4 linked regions of the Saccharomyces cerevisiae S288C genome follow. The protein of the gene in region 3 interacts with the protein of the main gene of each other region in a biochemical or structural test. Each region holds a gene or a part of one and is shown on either strand. Other genes may lie near its edges. The genes, in order: SWE1, SMC3, ECO1 and MCD1.

Region 1 (4,596 bases), on a different chromosome or scaffold from region 3:
GTTATCTGCGTCCAAGAAGATAATACGCTTGAAACTGGAAATTATCAACCCAAAGACTTTCAACTGGAAGTGCGTGAGTTTTAAATCGCTTAATGGCTTTGAAGGAACGATATCTGAGAAATAAATGCACTTACCATTGAATTTCGGCAACCAGTTCTTACAAAAATCATCCTCGCCTTCGTCCTGAGGCGGAATGATGACTTCAATAGGCAATGTAGTACCCGTGTCCCTCAACTTTTTGATCATCGTATACGCGAGCACAGAATACTTTCCACCTCCAATGGTGACAATGCCCTCAGAACCTGAGAAAAGTGCCTCTCTTTGTGGGATGGAAAAATTCAGTTTCCCTGATAAGGTGTCTGTAAACTTACTGTGCACTTCTCGTAGGCTTTCTTGTACTGTTTTATTCAAATTATAGCATTTACTCAAGCTCTCGTAACTTAAGTCACTATCGTGTCCAGAGTCGTGTGCAGCAACGTTATTTGCAAAGCTACACCCTTCCGCCCCATGCAACTTACTCAAGTCCGGAGACGAATCTGCCGGCTTGTTTTCCACGATGGCTTGTACCAGTGTTGTGTAAAAATTGTTTTTAAGGTTCGACCTTGTTAGAACCGGCAATCTAAGCTTTTTACCGTATAACCAACTAGAAGACACATCATTATGCACAGAACAAAAAAATAAAATTAGCACTACTGCGCTCACGATGACCTGCAGGATTTTTCTCTTCTTTAACCTAATCAGCATTGTAACCTGAACTATTAGTATATCCTCTTGTTGTGCTAGGAACCAGTCGTAAAATAAAAATTTCCAATAACCGTGAAAATGCTTTTTTCATATCTGCGTATATATAAAACACTTTAAAGCCGTGTTGATCCTTTAGTTGTTACACTTTTTTTTCCCCGCCGATGAGAAAGTGAAAAAAAAAATCCGCAAGAACGGGGAAAAAGATAAAAGAAGGCACTTATCTCTCTGAACTCTGCACCGAAACATGCATCTGTCGTCTATTCCGACTTGGCAACCAAAAGAAGCCCAAGAGCTAGTTGCACTTAAATCAGTAGAATCGTGAGATTGTTTATTATCTTACTTCTGTTAGAGTGCTTCGCTTTCCATGCATCAAACTATGGATTTGTGCTGATCTTGCAACCATCGTCCTCTAAGGAAAGAAATGTGGCACCTTTAAATAGGTTCCACCTCACAGATGCCAACATGTGGGAGATAGGGGGCTATTCGCAATTTATTAACGTCTCTAGTACTGGTAAGCCTTTCTAACATTCTTGTGGTCACGTGATGTGTATGTTTCTTTTTTTTATTCCTCCGGGTGATAACGACGCGAAAAATATTTTTTCATTTTTCTTTTAACCATCACAATTTGCGACGCGACGCGAAAAAAATGCAGAGAAGTAAAAGAATGCTGGATAAGAAATCAACAACACAGTTGAACATTGGCGTGCCCCTGTGTATTAAGTAAAGGTTGTCCAAGAGGCTCTTTTTTGTATGTATGCGTGTGTTAACTATCCTGCACATCATCTTGCGCAGTTAGTCCAATAAAAAAAGGATTACTACTGAACAGGTCTTACTATTTTTGATTGCGTAGTGCTGGGGAAAAGTAAACACACACAGGCGCACACGAGAACAGATGAGTTCTTTGGACGAGGATGAAGAGGACTTCGAAATGCTGGACACGGAGAACCTCCAGTTTATGGGGAAGAAGATGTTTGGCAAACAGGCCGGCGAAGACGAGAGTGATGATTTTGCTATAGGGGGTAGCACCCCGACCAATAAACTGAAATTTTATCCATATTCGAACAACAAATTGACAAGAAGTACGGGGACCTTGAACCTGTCATTAAGTAATACAGCTTTGTCAGAGGCTAACTCCAAATTTCTTGGGAAAATTGAAGAAGAGGAAGAAGAGGAGGAAGAAGGCAAGGATGAGGAAAGCGTGGATTCTCGTATTAAAAGGTGGTCTCCGTTCCATGAAAATGAAAGTGTTACTACTCCTATTACAAAAAGATCTGCGGAAAAAACGAACAGTCCTATTTCTCTCAAACAATGGAACCAGCGATGGTTTCCGAAAAATGATGCTCGCACTGAAAATACATCCTCATCCTCTTCATATAGCGTCGCTAAACCTAACCAATCAGCCTTTACGTCTTCGGGCCTCGTATCTAAAATGTCTATGGACACTTCGTTATACCCTGCGAAATTGAGGATACCAGAAACACCAGTGAAAAAATCACCCTTAGTGGAGGGAAGAGACCATAAGCATGTCCACCTTTCGAGTTCGAAAAATGCATCGTCTTCTCTAAGTGTTTCCCCTTTAAATTTTGTTGAAGACAATAATTTACAAGAAGACCTTTTATTTTCAGATTCTCCGTCTTCGAAAGCTTTACCTTCCATCCATGTACCAACCATAGACTCATCCCCACTGAGCGAGGCAAAATATCATGCACATGATCGTCACAATAACCAGACAAACATCCTGTCTCCCACTAATAGCTTGGTTACCAACAGCTCTCCACAAACATTGCATTCTAACAAGTTCAAAAAAATCAAAAGAGCAAGGAATTCGGTTATTTTGAAAAATAGAGAGCTAACAAACAGTTTACAACAATTCAAAGATGATTTATACGGCACGGACGAGAATTTCCCACCTCCAATCATAATATCAAGTCATCATTCAACTAGAAAGAACCCTCAACCTTATCAATTTCGTGGACGCTATGACAATGACACTGACGAAGAGATCTCCACTCCAACAAGACGAAAATCTATTATTGGGGCAACATCTCAAACACATAGAGAAAGCAGACCATTGTCACTCTCCTCTGCCATCGTGACAAACACAACAAGTGCAGAGACGCATTCCATATCTTCCACCGATTCTTCGCCGTTAAATTCCAAAAGGCGTCTAATCTCTTCAAATAAGTTATCAGCAAATCCAGATTCCCATCTTTTCGAAAAATTTACGAATGTGCATTCCATTGGTAAAGGCCAGTTTTCCACGGTCTACCAGGTTACGTTTGCCCAAACAAACAAAAAGTATGCAATCAAAGCCATTAAACCAAACAAATATAATTCCTTGAAACGCATATTACTGGAAATTAAAATACTAAACGAGGTAACAAACCAAATTACAATGGATCAAGAAGGGAAGGAATACATCATCGATTACATCAGTTCCTGGAAGTTTCAAAATTCATACTATATTATGACAGAATTGTGCGAAAATGGTAATTTGGATGGATTTTTACAAGAGCAAGTTATCGCAAAGAAAAAAAGGTTGGAAGATTGGAGAATTTGGAAAATCATCGTGGAATTAAGCCTGGCTTTACGATTCATCCATGATTCTTGTCACATTGTGCATCTGGACTTGAAACCCGCAAACGTCATGATCACATTTGAAGGTAACCTAAAACTAGGTGACTTTGGAATGGCTACTCATTTACCGTTGGAGGATAAAAGTTTTGAAAATGAAGGTGACAGAGAATATATTGCACCAGAAATCATTTCTGATTGTACGTACGATTACAAGGCAGATATTTTTTCCCTGGGTCTGATGATTGTTGAAATTGCAGCGAACGTTGTGTTACCTGACAATGGCAACGCATGGCATAAGTTGAGATCGGGTGATTTATCGGATGCAGGAAGATTAAGTTCCACAGATATTCATTCTGAATCATTATTTTCAGACATTACGAAAGTAGATACAAATGATTTATTTGATTTTGAAAGAGACAATATCAGTGGTAATAGTAACAACGCTGGCACCTCCACTGTTCATAACAATAGTAATATCAACAACCCTAATATGAATAATGGCAACGATAATAATAATGTCAATACTGCCGCTACCAAGAATCGTCTTATTTTGCATAAAAGTTCTAAAATTCCCGCATGGGTACCGAAATTTCTTATTGATGGTGAATCACTTGAGAGAATAGTACGATGGATGATAGAGCCCAATTATGAGAGAAGGCCCACGGCAAATCAAATCTTACAAACTGAGGAATGCCTGTATGTAGAAATGACACGCAATGCAGGTGCTATTATCCAGGAAGACGACTTTGGACCTAAGCCAAAATTTTTTATATGATAAATGGAACAAAAAACCTTGTTTTATTTACATACTTTTTTCCCACACGTGCTTATGGGCCGCATTGTATAAATAATCCAATAACGAAAAAGAGTGTAATTGCAGTCCGGTAGTAATACCATGTAAAACCTTAGATGAGTTTATTTTAAGTACAGCCGCTTCAAGCATTTTTATTTTTATTTTACAGATGTAGCAGATAACAACCGTTAAATTATATTATATATATATATATATATATATCAAATACGACGTATTACATATATATTGAGAATAAGGGAAGGATGGAAGACAAATGACAAAAAGTTTGAAGCATAAATATGTTCTTCGCTTAGATGTTCATCTTGGTTCTTCTCCAGTTTCTTCTCTTAGCGTTGTAACGGATAGTGTTGTTGGTTCTCAATCTGATCCATTGTGGCAATGGTCTGTTTTGCTTCTTAGCCTTAGCCATTTTTTGCTTGATTCTGAAAGACTTTTGAGCCTAATTAAAAGGGAAACATATC
Region 2 (6,215 bases), on a different chromosome or scaffold from region 3:
GCGATACTCCAAGAATTTTATAATAGTCCTTTTTTGGGTCGTAGTTAGGCGCTGCTGGGGGTGCTTGATGTCGTTGGTGTTGTTGCTGCTGTTGTTGTTGTTGGAAATATTGCTGGTTGAAATTCCGATGTTTATGCTCTTTATAGGTTTGTAATTGTTTCTGTAATAATCGGAAGTTCTTCATCACGTATGGATTGGTCGACTCTGAGAGGCCGTTATCTTGGAAAAATTTGTTTATCTGGTCATATAATTGCTTTTTGAACTGTGAATGAGGTTTAGACCTACTTTTATTAAGTATTGAGTTTACCATATACATCAGCAAATGAGGATTGGAATTCCATACATCACTCAATACCGTCTCAGGTAAAGGTTTTTGCTCGGACTTAGCATCCTGATAGTGTTTCCATGTTTCTAGTGTTAGTGAATGCCTCAAACTCTTTTTACAGAACGGCGCAGCCAGTTTAGCTCTCTTGACGTCCGGACTCATGCTAGAAGCCTGACAAAGAATGGAATCAATGTATACTAGATAATCGGTATGATAGTATGATTTTGGTTTGACAAAACCATCGGTTATTGGGGGATCTTCGAATAAATTTTTTGCCAAAGGTCTCGACAGTTGAACGTCTTCTATCAATTGTTTGATAATTTCCTCTAAAAAGAAGTAGTTGTTTTTAAAGTTTGTATCTTTGTTAAGAATTTTCATTGGTGTAATAAATGGCTTCTTATCCTTCAAATAAAATTCAATAATTCTATCCCAACTTCTAAACTTTTTGTTCTCAAATGCATATGTTGCTGGATCCAGGATCTGTCTTTTTGATGGATTCACCTTGTTCAATTTGGAAATAGTCAGGCTTAGTTTTTTACATTTATCATAGTCCATATCAATGGAAAGGCATTTTCTTATATTGAACGACGCATCTGAGTTAAGTACAAAGGTCTGTAAAACAGATATGACATAATGAATCGAAAGTCTTGTATCTATGCTTAAGCTAGCCAAATGCTTGTCGAGGATTGTTTCGTAATCCAAAATGATAGCAGCAGCTAACGAAACGTCAATTTCTTCAGCTAGTTTGTGAAAAAGAACATCGATGTGCGTGGAGAGGACGTTAACATCGTACGGCGTTATGCGTAGCAGCTCAGAAATATCTTCCTCCACAGAAACGTCTTTGGATGATATTTTGTTTCTGATGGTTTCATTCAAGGACAGATATTTCGCATACTGATCATCCTTCTGATGCACCTTGTCCCACATCCCAAAATCGACATACAGCTCTTGTAGCCTCTTTTCCGCCAGCTTCCCAAAAGAACCTTTGTAAGTTTCATTAAAAACGATTTTTTCAAATGTGTTAATAGCTCTTAGATGTTGATCGTTGGATAATTGGATCAGCCCAATTTTGTAGTATATTTGATTGGCTAGTTGAATTACGTCTGACATATTTTCACTTGCTGGATCCGCAGTCATGCAGTTTTGTTCCAACTGCCCAGCGATCCATTGGTATTTTGGCAAGGATTCAGTGTCTACTTTTAAATTCTTGTTCAATCGTTGTAACTCAGCCAAATCACATAACTTAGAAGCCGATATCAGTACTGGCAAAATAACGCTATACACTAAAAGACAGTATCCCGAGATCAGTATCATACTTCGTTTCGTAGACGTTAAGATCGGCCTTAGTAATACACTAAACCAACAATGAATGAAACCTTCTGGGCCCTTCTCGCAACCAACTCCTTTCACTTGGAATAACTTATAAGCAGTTTTGGCTCTATTTTTGCCTGCCATCGAAGTGTACACCTGTCACATTTCACTATTAGGAACCTAAAGAAAAAAAGTCTCAGGAATAGGAAAAGACGCGACGCGTTAGGAAATGATTAAACTAATTAAAGATGAGTTTTCAACCTCATCTTTAAACAGTTTCACCATTTTTTTACAAGACGACCTGCTGGAGTAACGGTAATAGTTCACGTCTGCAATGTATATCAAAAGGGTGATAATTAAGGGTTTTAAAACCTACAGGAACGAAACCATTATTGATAATTTCTCGCCGCATCAGAATGTTATTATTGGCTCCAATGGTTCAGGTAAATCGAATTTCTTCGCTGCGATTAGATTTGTTCTTAGTGACGATTACTCTAATCTTAAGAGGGAAGAAAGGCAAGGGCTTATCCACCAAGGTTCTGGTGGTTCAGTGATGAGTGCCTCGGTAGAAATTGTGTTCCACGATCCAGATCATTCTATGATATTGCCCTCCGGTGTACTTTCGAGAGGAGATGACGAAGTGACCATTAGAAGAACAGTAGGGCTGAAGAAGGATGACTATCAATTAAATGACAGAAACGTGACCAAAGGGGACATAGTCAGAATGTTGGAAACCGCTGGTTTTTCAATGAATAATCCGTATAATATAGTACCACAAGGTAAAATAGTCGCCTTAACTAATGCCAAGGATAAGGAAAGATTGCAGTTATTGGAAGATGTTGTAGGAGCTAAGTCATTTGAAGTAAAATTGAAAGCTTCATTGAAAAAAATGGAGGAAACAGAGCAGAAAAAGATTCAAATTAACAAGGAAATGGGTGAACTAAACTCTAAATTGAGTGAAATGGAACAGGAACGTAAGGAATTAGAGAAATACAACGAGTTGGAACGCAACAGAAAGATCTACCAGTTCACATTGTATGATCGAGAATTAAATGAGGTTATCAATCAAATGGAAAGACTGGACGGTGATTATAATAACACGGTATACTCTTCCGAACAATACATCCAGGAGTTGGATAAAAGAGAGGATATGATTGACCAAGTCTCCAAAAAGCTATCAAGTATTGAAGCTTCACTGAAGATCAAAAATGCGACTGATTTACAACAGGCAAAACTACGGGAATCTGAGATTTCTCAGAAATTAACAAACGTCAACGTAAAAATAAAGGATGTTCAACAGCAAATTGAGTCAAATGAGGAGCAGAGAAATTTGGATAGTGCAACTTTGAAAGAGATCAAATCTATAATTGAGCAAAGGAAACAAAAGTTGTCTAAAATTTTACCTAGATATCAAGAACTCACAAAGGAAGAAGCAATGTACAAACTTCAATTGGCCTCCTTGCAACAAAAGCAGAGAGATCTTATCTTAAAGAAAGGAGAATATGCCCGTTTTAAATCAAAGGATGAACGCGATACGTGGATTCATTCAGAAATTGAAGAACTGAAATCTTCAATACAAAACTTAAATGAACTGGAAAGTCAATTGCAAATGGATCGTACTTCTTTAAGGAAGCAGTACTCTGCGATTGATGAAGAGATTGAAGAGCTAATTGATTCTATCAATGGACCAGATACCAAGGGTCAATTAGAAGATTTTGATTCGGAATTAATACACCTCAAACAGAAGCTGAGTGAAAGTTTAGACACTCGTAAGGAATTGTGGAGAAAGGAGCAAAAATTACAGACAGTCTTGGAAACTTTATTAAGTGACGTCAATCAAAATCAAAGAAATGTTAATGAAACCATGAGTAGATCATTGGCAAATGGTATAATAAATGTGAAAGAAATTACAGAAAAACTAAAAATATCACCGGAATCTGTCTTTGGGACATTAGGTGAACTGATTAAAGTCAATGATAAGTACAAGACATGTGCTGAAGTAATTGGAGGTAACTCCCTCTTCCACATTGTCGTGGATACCGAAGAAACGGCCACTTTGATTATGAACGAACTATATCGTATGAAGGGTGGGAGAGTGACGTTTATTCCCTTGAACAGGTTATCTTTGGACAGTGATGTTAAATTCCCCTCAAACACTACTACACAAATCCAGTTTACTCCCTTGATAAAGAAGATAAAATATGAACCCAGGTTTGAGAAGGCTGTCAAACACGTTTTTGGAAAAACTATTGTTGTCAAAGACTTAGGTCAAGGTTTAAAATTAGCTAAGAAACACAAACTCAATGCCATCACTTTAGATGGTGATAGAGCAGACAAAAGAGGTGTACTTACAGGTGGGTATCTTGACCAGCACAAACGAACACGTTTGGAATCATTGAAAAACTTAAATGAATCAAGAAGTCAACACAAAAAAATACTGGAAGAATTAGATTTCGTAAGAAATGAACTAAATGATATTGATACTAAGATTGATCAAGTAAACGGGAATATAAGAAAGGTTTCTAATGACAGGGAGTCTGTCTTAACAAATATCGAGGTATATAGAACATCGCTAAACACCAAAAAGAATGAAAAATTAATTCTCGAAGAATCATTAAACGCAATTATACTAAAACTAGAAAAGCTGAATACAAATCGTACATTTGCTCAGGAAAAGCTAAATACATTCGAAAATGATTTGCTTCAGGAGTTTGATAGCGAACTCTCAAAAGAAGAAAAGGAAAGATTAGAATCTTTAACAAAGGAGATTAGTGCAGCGCACAATAAGCTAAATATTACATCAGACGCCCTAGAAGGTATAACTACAACCATTGACTCGTTGAATGCCGAATTGGAGTCCAAACTTATCCCACAAGAAAATGATCTAGAATCCAAGATGTCAGAAGTAGGTGACGCATTTATTTTTGGTCTACAAGATGAGTTGAAAGAATTACAATTGGAGAAGGAAAGCGTTGAAAAGCAGCATGAAAACGCTGTGTTGGAACTAGGTACCGTTCAAAGAGAAATTGAAAGTCTCATTGCTGAAGAAACTAATAATAAGAAACTGCTAGAAAAAGCAAACAATCAACAGCGATTACTATTAAAGAAGCTTGACAATTTCCAAAAAAGTGTTGAAAAAACGATGATTAAGAAAACAACTTTGGTTACTAGAAGAGAAGAATTACAGCAAAGGATTAGGGAAATTGGGCTTCTGCCAGAGGATGCTTTAGTAAATGATTTTAGCGACATCACAAGTGATCAGCTATTACAAAGACTGAATGATATGAACACAGAGATTTCTGGTTTGAAGAATGTAAACAAGAGAGCTTTTGAAAACTTCAAAAAGTTTAACGAAAGACGCAAAGACCTTGCGGAGAGAGCTTCAGAGCTGGATGAATCTAAAGACTCAATTCAAGATCTAATTGTTAAGTTAAAACAACAAAAGGTTAACGCGGTTGATTCTACTTTCCAAAAGGTTTCTGAAAACTTTGAAGCTGTTTTTGAAAGATTAGTTCCCAGAGGTACTGCTAAGTTGATTATTCACCGTAAGAATGATAACGCTAACGACCATGATGAAAGTATTGATGTTGACATGGATGCAGAATCCAATGAAAGCCAAAACGGTAAAGATAGTGAAATTATGTATACAGGTGTTTCAATTTCTGTTTCCTTCAATTCTAAACAAAACGAACAACTGCATGTTGAACAGCTCTCAGGTGGTCAGAAGACTGTATGTGCCATTGCTTTGATTCTGGCAATCCAAATGGTTGACCCTGCTTCCTTCTATCTGTTTGATGAAATTGATGCTGCACTCGACAAGCAGTATAGAACTGCAGTCGCTACACTTCTAAAAGAACTGTCAAAAAATGCCCAGTTTATTTGTACGACGTTCAGAACAGATATGTTGCAAGTTGCAGACAAATTTTTCCGTGTTAAGTACGAGAATAAGATTTCCACGGTTATTGAGGTCAATAGAGAAGAAGCAATCGGATTCATTAGAGGTAGCAATAAATTCGCTGAAGTCTAAGAGATATTTGAAACGATTTGTATATAAAAATATCAGTTTTGCTTACATAAATAGCTATTTGTATGTAATTATTACCATTGTCTCCTATATTGGAATTTTAAAAAATTTTCTTTTAAGATGATACTGTTACTAAACAATAATGTTAAATATAGTAACCAAGCTTTGATAATTCGACGTACAAAAAAGATTACTTTTCTTAAAGAAGTTGCCCGCTTGCTGGGAAAAGAGGTAAATAAGAATTGGTTTACATGAAGATTTTTTAATATATTAATACTTTTATATGCTTGATTATTTTTTTTTACTAGCTTTCTGTGACGTGTATTCTACTGAGACTTTCTGGTATCATTTTTTCTTGAAATCTTTTATTAATGATGCAAATCCACCACTTGGCTTCTTCTTCTTACCTAAAGCAGCACTAGCGGATTTCGCACTAATAAAACTTTTTCCATCATCAGATGAATCCCCTGAGTCATCAGAATCTGACTCAGATTTAGAATCTGAACTGGAATCCGATACGGAGTCCGAACTGGAGTTAGAGTCAGAATCAGAGCT
Region 3 (3,379 bases):
TTATCATTTACCTACGCATTCGTATTATCGTATTCGCAGCTAGAGGCCAGTGCAACCATATAGATATTGCTATTAACTTCATTGTAGCTAAAGCACCCTGGGTGTTAAGGAGAAACATCAATAAGAGAATAGTTTGTAGTATTCTGTGAAATTTTCGGTGACCATGGTCTTCAAGGAGAATTCTTTAGTATATTCTATGTATCTATAACTAATTTCCAAAAAATGACATGTCAATCACTTTCCAGAGCTATAAGATATATTCAGGTTTATCCCAAAAATATTTACAGAGAAATAACCCTTGCAAAACCTTTTGGTACACGAACAGGCCCCTTTAAAAGTTTCTTGGCAGTTTTTTTCGTCTTCCTTCTTTTCCGGCCATAGCATCGTTTGCGGATCGTTCAAACTCCTATTATCCGATGAGCTACCCAACTGCCCTCCCATTAGGTAGTGGTTATTAGGGCACTTATTGTCTCTTGTGGTGTTGTAGTAATGGTTAATATAATTTTCGAGCAAATAGAGTGCAACTTGCGGTTCGAGTTCAATAAGATTAATATCCCTCAATGACTCAGGAGGTCCATTCCAGGGAATAGAAAGTAGTGCAGTTGCATACTGTTCATTAGTACCGTCTCCATTTTTGCCTCTGAGATTTGATGGCGGAAAAGCGACACATGAATTGTTGACCTGGAGTGCGCTCACTGTTACAATTAGTAAGGCCACGGTAATTGCTACTGCATAGGGCGTCATCACCTTTTCGAAATTTGACACTGCTAATTTGGCGCCAGTATAGAGTTTCTTTCTCTTGAATCCAATGAGATCATTATCCTAGTATAGAGCTTGTAAGTCCAAGCTGCACTTAAATATACAACGATCAGAAAAAACTCGTATAGTCTGTTGAAAATGCAACACGTATACCTCCGGAGAAGTATCTTTGGTTTTGATTTGCCGCGCAGCCTGTGTAAAATGGCGCACACAATCACGTTACTTGAATCTCAGTTCAGAAGTTTCTTTCAACACAGCCAATTGCATTTAGTCTGCTATGCTTAATATTGTAGCTACTACGTGGCAAACATAGCTGCCCGAACTACTTTATGCGTACGTGTCCACAGCAATTTGTATAACGACTCAATCAAAATTCTCTCAAACACCTTCATGGGAATCTGTCGACAATGTAATCAGATCTCAGCCCAATTGCCAGTATGTGTTCATATCTTATTCCGTGGCCGCCCCTCCAAAAAGCTTCAAAATACACTCACCAGGCTTACTTCTTGTTGGGAGAAGAACCGTTATCGTTCACTTGATAATATTCCTACCAGTATGTTGTCCTATATGGAGTCATGAGCATACATGGTGCAAAATTATGGAATTAGCGCAATGAGTTTCAAACAGCAATTTGATCTTTTTATAAACACTGAAATGCCAGAATTGATAATGTAATAGGAAAAAAAAATGAAAAGATTCAAAACCGAAGATAAAATGAGATTATTTTTTTCTTTTATGTAGAAACATCGATTCGCTTCTGTGGGTTCCCATATCCTCGAGGAGAACTTCTAATATATTCTGTATAATTAATATTATAGCATTAACAACGGTATAATCTCAGTCATTATCCCAAAATTCACCTATTTTCCCATCATACCGATCTTTGCGAATACTTGAGCATGTAAATCAGAGATTCTATGTAACAGCTGCCCAGAAACCAGAAAACGTCTCTTAACCACTTCCATTGTTGGCATGTTGAAACCTCCTGCCGCCTTGATCATCCTTCGACTTAGGGAAGAATCTTAACAAATGAAATTTAACGTCAACGCGTAATAGAAAAAAAGCCTTTCGCGTACTGTAATCAGTAATAATACATAAGGAGATGCCAGCTACAACGGACATCAACATATATCTATGTTTACATATTAGGGTTCAACAGAATATAAATCGTTGCACAAAATGAAAGCTAGGAAATCGCAGAGAAAAGCGGGCAGTAAACCAAATCTTATCCAGTCTAAATTGCAAGTTAATAATGGTTCGAAATCGAATAAAATAGTCAAGTGTGATAAATGTGAGATGTCATATTCCTCGACATCAATAGAAGATCGCGCCATCCACGAGAAATACCACACTTTACAGCTGCATGGACGTAAATGGTCGCCGAATTGGGGTTCTATAGTATACACAGAGCGAAACCATTCAAGGACGGTGCATCTATCAAGATCGACAGGGACAATAACGCCATTGAACTCCTCACCTTTGAAAAAAAGTAGTCCGTCTATTACCCATCAGGAGGAGAAGATTGTATATGTGAGACCAGATAAGTCGAATGGTGAAGTCCGAGCCATGACGGAGATAATGACACTAGTGAATAACGAGCTGAATGCGCCACACGATGAGAATGTCATTTGGAACAGTACCACAGAAGAAAAAGGCAAAGCGTTTGTATACATAAGAAATGACAGGGCGGTCGGAATAATAATTATAGAGAACCTTTATGGGGGCAATGGTAAAACATCTAGTCGTGGACGTTGGATGGTTTATGATTCTAGAAGATTGGTACAGAATGTGTACCCCGATTTTAAGATTGGCATATCGAGAATTTGGGTGTGCAGGACAGCAAGGAAGTTGGGTATCGCAACCAAATTGATTGACGTTGCAAGAGAAAATATTGTTTACGGTGAAGTTATTCCTAGGTACCAGGTAGCATGGTCGCAACCCACAGACAGCGGTGGAAAACTGGCTAGCAAATACAACGGCATTATGCATAAATCAGGCAAGTTACTATTGCCGGTATACATATGACTCTTTCGAAAAGACAGCGAGAAGGGACACTGGAAAAATGGCATAAAACTTTTCAAGGTTATTATTAGTAAGTTTTTTTATTATATGATATATATATATATAAAAATGAAATAAATTATTTCTTGATGGAGCCACTTATTTTTCTTATACCACCGGCGGCGCTTGTAGTCCTTCTCCCTGACGTTACTCTCCTATTCTTGGGCAATAGTTGTCTTAGTATGGTATCATCTGCGGCATTATTGATGTTCGTTGCGCTGGGTTCGTTATCTTCCATTCGGGACGATGAAGCAGAGGAGATATCATTTTTCTTGCGCGAAACTTTGGGATAATGATTACTTGTGCCGTTGGTATCCTGCATGGATTCGTCATCTGAGTTGTTGCTTTCTATTACTACCTTCCTATTCGCATGGGAAGTTGGATTACGATTATTGTTGATATCTTCTATAGTATTAGAACCGTTTTGGCCCTTTCTCGGCTGACCAGGCGAAGTCTGTGGGACGGCTGAGCTCTTGAATGAATTACTTCCATTATTCGCCGTAGAAGGTTGGCTCGAATTTCTGGCACTAAGCGCCCCATGACCGTTGGATGGCGGCGT
Region 4 (4,271 bases), on a different chromosome or scaffold from region 3:
AGACAAGTGTGAAATGCCTAGGAGATTGATGATTGACAAGCTCTGGCCTTGCAATAAAAATACTTATACACAACTTCAAATAATATAGAAAAGAAAGAAGACTATAAGCTAAAAATGTAGACAACCTCATTTAAATATTATTCTTAGGACTTGGTAATAATAGCTAATTTGTATATTATTCACCTCGGTCACCGCCTGTAATCACCTTTAACGAAAATAGATGCCCAGCCAATCAAAGCGCATTATGGAGTCGTCTAGGAAGGGGCCGTCCCATCATTGTAAAAGTTCATGTTAAATTAGATGGAGGATAACAATAAAGGTATCGTACACACACTGCTAAAAGAGCCTCAATCAATTTGTGAAGGTATAACTGTAGCCGTGAGGATAGGAAAATGTTACGTTCAATTATTGGAAAGAGTGCATCAAGATCATTGAATTTCGTCGCTAAGCGTTCATATGCAGAAGCTGCTGCCGCATCATCAGGTTTGAAGTTACAATTTGCTCTACCACACGAAACTTTATATAGTGGCTCCGAAGTTACTCAAGTGAACCTGCCTGCTAAGTCAGGACGTATTGGTGTATTGGCCAACCATGTTCCCACCGTTGAACAATTACTACCAGGTGTCGTTGAAGTTATGGAAGGCTCTAACTCTAAAAAATTCTTTATATCAGGTGGATTTGCAACAGTTCAACCAGACTCGCAGTTATGTGTAACTGCAATTGAAGCTTTTCCATTGGAATCCTTTTCACAAGAAAATATAAAAAATTTGTTGGCAGAAGCTAAGAAGAACGTTAGTTCATCTGATGCCAGGGAAGCCGCAGAAGCTGCAATTCAAGTAGAAGTTTTAGAAAACCTACAATCCGTATTGAAATAGCGTTTTTATGGTACGCATTCTAGAACTTGAGGGGAAGAAGTCTACGTTTTTAAGTGTTGACAAGCAATTCGCTTGAAAGCGCCAAAATTCATTGTTTGTTCTACTCGAATTTAAGTTTCCATTTTGGTTGATGTCTTAAGTATACAGAGAAACCGTTTATTAGCGTATATATACAGAAAATTTTATTATTTTATATTCAAAAACAAGAAAACAAAAGAGAAAACATTAACATGTAATTTTCATAACTAATAGTCCTAGAAAGTAATACTTTTTACAACTGTTTCTTTAAATCCTGTATGAAAGCCCTAGTTGCAGATCATCGTGTTATTCCAGTGAGTTTTCACTTCCCTAAGTCCTTCCTATTTATGTTTTAGTCCTTCTTGCACAGCAATTTTACTTCGGGCACTGTTGCCGTATATTCTAAAAAAATGAAAAAAACGTTCATGCCCCAGCGAAAACCAGTGTTTCCTCGTATTCGTGTCAGTAATTACACCAAAGTTTGTTCTACACTAAATCACGAATAAAGTGGGAGATTGAGTTCAACAAAATATCTGATTATAAAAGTATGAGAACAAGAAAATTAAGGAGCCTCCATAATAAGGTGCTTTTAATTGAGAATGAATGTTCATTAGTTGCTATATTGATGGTGATGGAACTCCAATTACCTAATCAAAAATATGAATGTTTATGCGAATAAGAGTTTGTAAAGAAAAAGATCCCTGTAGACTGGATGTGAGATGATGATTTCATTCCCGGCCTCTTAAATAAAAACAATTACCACTGCAAAAATGTTCTTCAAACGCGTTTATTATATAATGAAAAAGAAATTCAAATTTTTCGCGTTTGAAAATTTATGCTAAACAAATAACTCGAGGAGGGACGCGTCGAGAAAATCGCGTCTTTCTACTCTCACAGTGCTTGCATACGTATGGTATACAGTATCAAAAGTAGCAGAATTTGTCTTCATTATGATATATATATATATATGTACATATATATAGGGTGCTAAAAAGTATTCTTTTTGCTATTATTATTGCTTAAATCGCCGACCTTTTTCCCATTGTCACGAGAACATAATTGTTAAACCAATAAAAGGAAAATCCATAACAAAAAAGGACTGGTCAAAGAAAAGACAACTCAATTGCACAATTACTTTACAAGAAACACGACAATGGTTACAGAAAATCCTCAACGTCTTACTGTTTTAAGACTTGCCACCAATAAGGGTCCATTAGCACAAATATGGCTTGCTTCAAATATGTCGAATATACCAAGAGGATCGGTTATCCAAACACATATTGCTGAATCAGCAAAGGAAATTGCAAAAGCTTCTGGCTGTGATGACGAATCAGGGGACAATGAATACATAACTTTACGAACATCTGGCGAATTACTTCAAGGCATTGTTCGTGTATATTCCAAACAGGCCACTTTTCTCCTTACAGATATAAAGGACACATTAACGAAGATAAGTATGTTATTTAAAACAAGCCAGAAGATGACTTCTACAGTAAACAGACTGAACACTGTAACAAGGGTTCATCAATTGATGTTAGAAGATGCCGTTACAGAAAGAGAAGTTTTGGTCACCCCAGGGTTAGAGTTCTTAGATGATACTACTATACCAGTGGGCTTAATGGCGCAGGAGAATTCGATGGAAAGAAAAGTCCAAGGTGCTGCTCCCTGGGATACTTCACTTGAGGTCGGTAGACGATTCAGTCCAGATGAAGATTTCGAACATAATAATTTGTCTAGTATGAACCTTGATTTTGACATCGAGGAAGGTCCGATAACTTCAAAATCTTGGGAAGAAGGAACAAGACAAAGCTCACGCAACTTTGATACGCACGAAAATTACATACAAGATGACGATTTCCCTCTTGATGATGCTGGAACTATTGGTTGGGATCTAGGGATTACCGAAAAAAATGACCAGAACAACGATGATGACGATAACTCTGTTGAGCAAGGAAGAAGGCTAGGTGAATCAATCATGTCTGAGGAGCCTACGGATTTTGGATTTGATCTGGATATAGAAAAAGAAGCACCCGCAGGCAATATAGATACGATAACCGATGCCATGACAGAATCACAGCCAAAACAAACTGGCACAAGAAGGAACTCAAAATTACTGAATACCAAAAGTATTCAAATCGATGAAGAAACAGAAAATTCAGAAAGCATAGCTTCATCCAATACATACAAAGAGGAGAGATCGAATAATTTATTGACTCCACAGCCCACCAATTTTACGACTAAAAGATTATGGAGTGAAATAACTGAAAGTATGTCCTATTTACCAGATCCAATCCTTAAGAACTTCTTATCCTACGAATCTCTAAAAAAAAGAAAAATACATAATGGGCGAGAAGGGTCAATTGAAGAACCTGAGTTAAACGTGTCGCTTAATCTTACCGACGATGTAATTAGTAATGCGGGAACAAACGATAACTCCTTCAATGAACTGACCGATAACATGTCAGACTTCGTACCAATTGATGCTGGCTTAAATGAGGCTCCTTTTCCTGAAGAGAATATCATCGACGCAAAGACTAGAAATGAGCAAACTACCATCCAAACTGAAAAAGTTCGTCCTACTCCCGGTGAGGTGGCTTCTAAAGCTATTGTTCAAATGGCGAAGATTTTAAGGAAGGAATTAAGCGAAGAAAAAGAAGTAATATTCACGGATGTACTAAAAAGTCAAGCAAATACAGAACCAGAAAATATTACTAAAAGAGAAGCCAGTAGAGGATTTTTCGATATTTTATCACTTGCTACAGAAGGATGTATTGGTTTGAGTCAAACAGAAGCATTCGGAAATATTAAAATAGACGCCAAACCTGCACTATTTGAAAGGTTTATCAATGCTTAAAACCTAGTTACGCCGAGGGGATTTCTTGGTGGACCCAATAAGCTGATGCATATATAGATCAAAGACTTTAATTTATAAAATTGTCAATATTTAATATTAATATTCACAAAATACGATAAAATTCAAACTAATGCGGTAGAGCCACTACTGGCCGCAAGGCAGAATGATCTTGGCAACTCTACACGCTGGTGCATGGGTAGTATTTATTCTAAAACTTGCTGTATTATTTTGAATAGTGATATTAGGAATCGTCTGCCCACGTACACCGGTGAAGCCGAAATTTTCTCATGGAAACCTTGGGAATAGAAGAAAGGTCCATTGTAAGTGCTACATACTGACCATCTTACATAATCTTACACAACCCTGGTAATAAAGCCACGTCTAGAAAGTTTTCCAGGCCAAACAATCTTCTTTTCCATTAGCTTTGGTACATTAGCAGCCAGAGGAAACATTATGCAGTTTTTAAAGGCTCAACTTTTTATCTAATATACAAAACAATAAAGTTGAACAATTTCTGGATAAAG

What was found.
Region 1: of the proteins of ECO1 (region 3) and SWE1, one has a biochemical effect on the other in vitro, tested with the Saccharomyces cerevisiae proteins (one study listed by BioGRID).
Region 2: of the proteins of ECO1 (region 3) and SMC3, one has a biochemical effect on the other in vitro, tested with the Saccharomyces cerevisiae proteins (3 studies listed by BioGRID).
Region 4: of the proteins of ECO1 (region 3) and MCD1, one has a biochemical effect on the other in vitro, tested with the Saccharomyces cerevisiae proteins (3 studies listed by BioGRID).

Annotation. Positions count from the first base shown.
Region 1 is NC_001142.9:76,303-80,898, reverse strand, and holds SWE1 (tyrosine protein kinase SWE1), read left to right. Parts: upstream 1-1,636; coding exon 1,637-4,096; downstream 4,097-4,596. Other genes in the region: alpha-1,2-mannosyltransferase MNN5, read right to left, coding at 1-744; 60S ribosomal protein eL39 RPL39, read right to left, coding at 4,425-4,574. UniProt on the Saccharomyces cerevisiae protein: Protein kinase that acts as a negative regulator of entry into mitosis (G2 to M transition) by phosphorylating and inhibiting the mitosis-promoting cyclin B-bound CDC28 at 'Tyr-19'.
Region 2 is NC_001142.9:298,605-304,819, reverse strand, and holds SMC3 (cohesin subunit SMC3), read left to right. Parts: upstream 1-1,970; coding exon 1,971-5,663; downstream 5,664-6,215. Other genes in the region: JEM1 (Jem1p), read right to left, coding at 1-1,639; APQ13 (Apq13p), read left to right, coding at 5,944-6,215; NET1 (Net1p), read right to left, coding at 6,006-6,215. UniProt on the Saccharomyces cerevisiae protein: Involved in chromosome cohesion during cell cycle and in DNA repair. Central component of cohesin complex. The cohesin complex is required for the cohesion of sister chromatids after DNA replication.
Region 3 is NC_001138.5:205,514-208,892, forward strand, and holds ECO1 (Eco1p), read left to right. Parts: upstream 1-1,938; coding exon 1,939-2,784; downstream 2,785-3,379. Other genes in the region: ULI1 (Uli1p), read right to left, coding at 235-744; phosphoprotein phosphatase CDC14, read right to left, coding at 2,900-3,379. UniProt on the Saccharomyces cerevisiae protein: Required for establishment of sister chromatid cohesion during S phase but not for its further maintenance during G2 or M phases or for loading the cohesin complex onto DNA.
Region 4 is NC_001136.10:442,637-446,907, forward strand, and holds MCD1 (kleisin alpha), read left to right. Parts: upstream 1-2,046; coding exon 2,047-3,747; downstream 3,748-4,271. Other genes in the region: ATP16 (F1F0 ATP synthase subunit delta), read left to right, coding at 393-875. UniProt on the Saccharomyces cerevisiae protein: Cleavable component of the cohesin complex involved in chromosome cohesion during cell cycle. The cohesin complex is required for the cohesion of sister chromatids after DNA replication.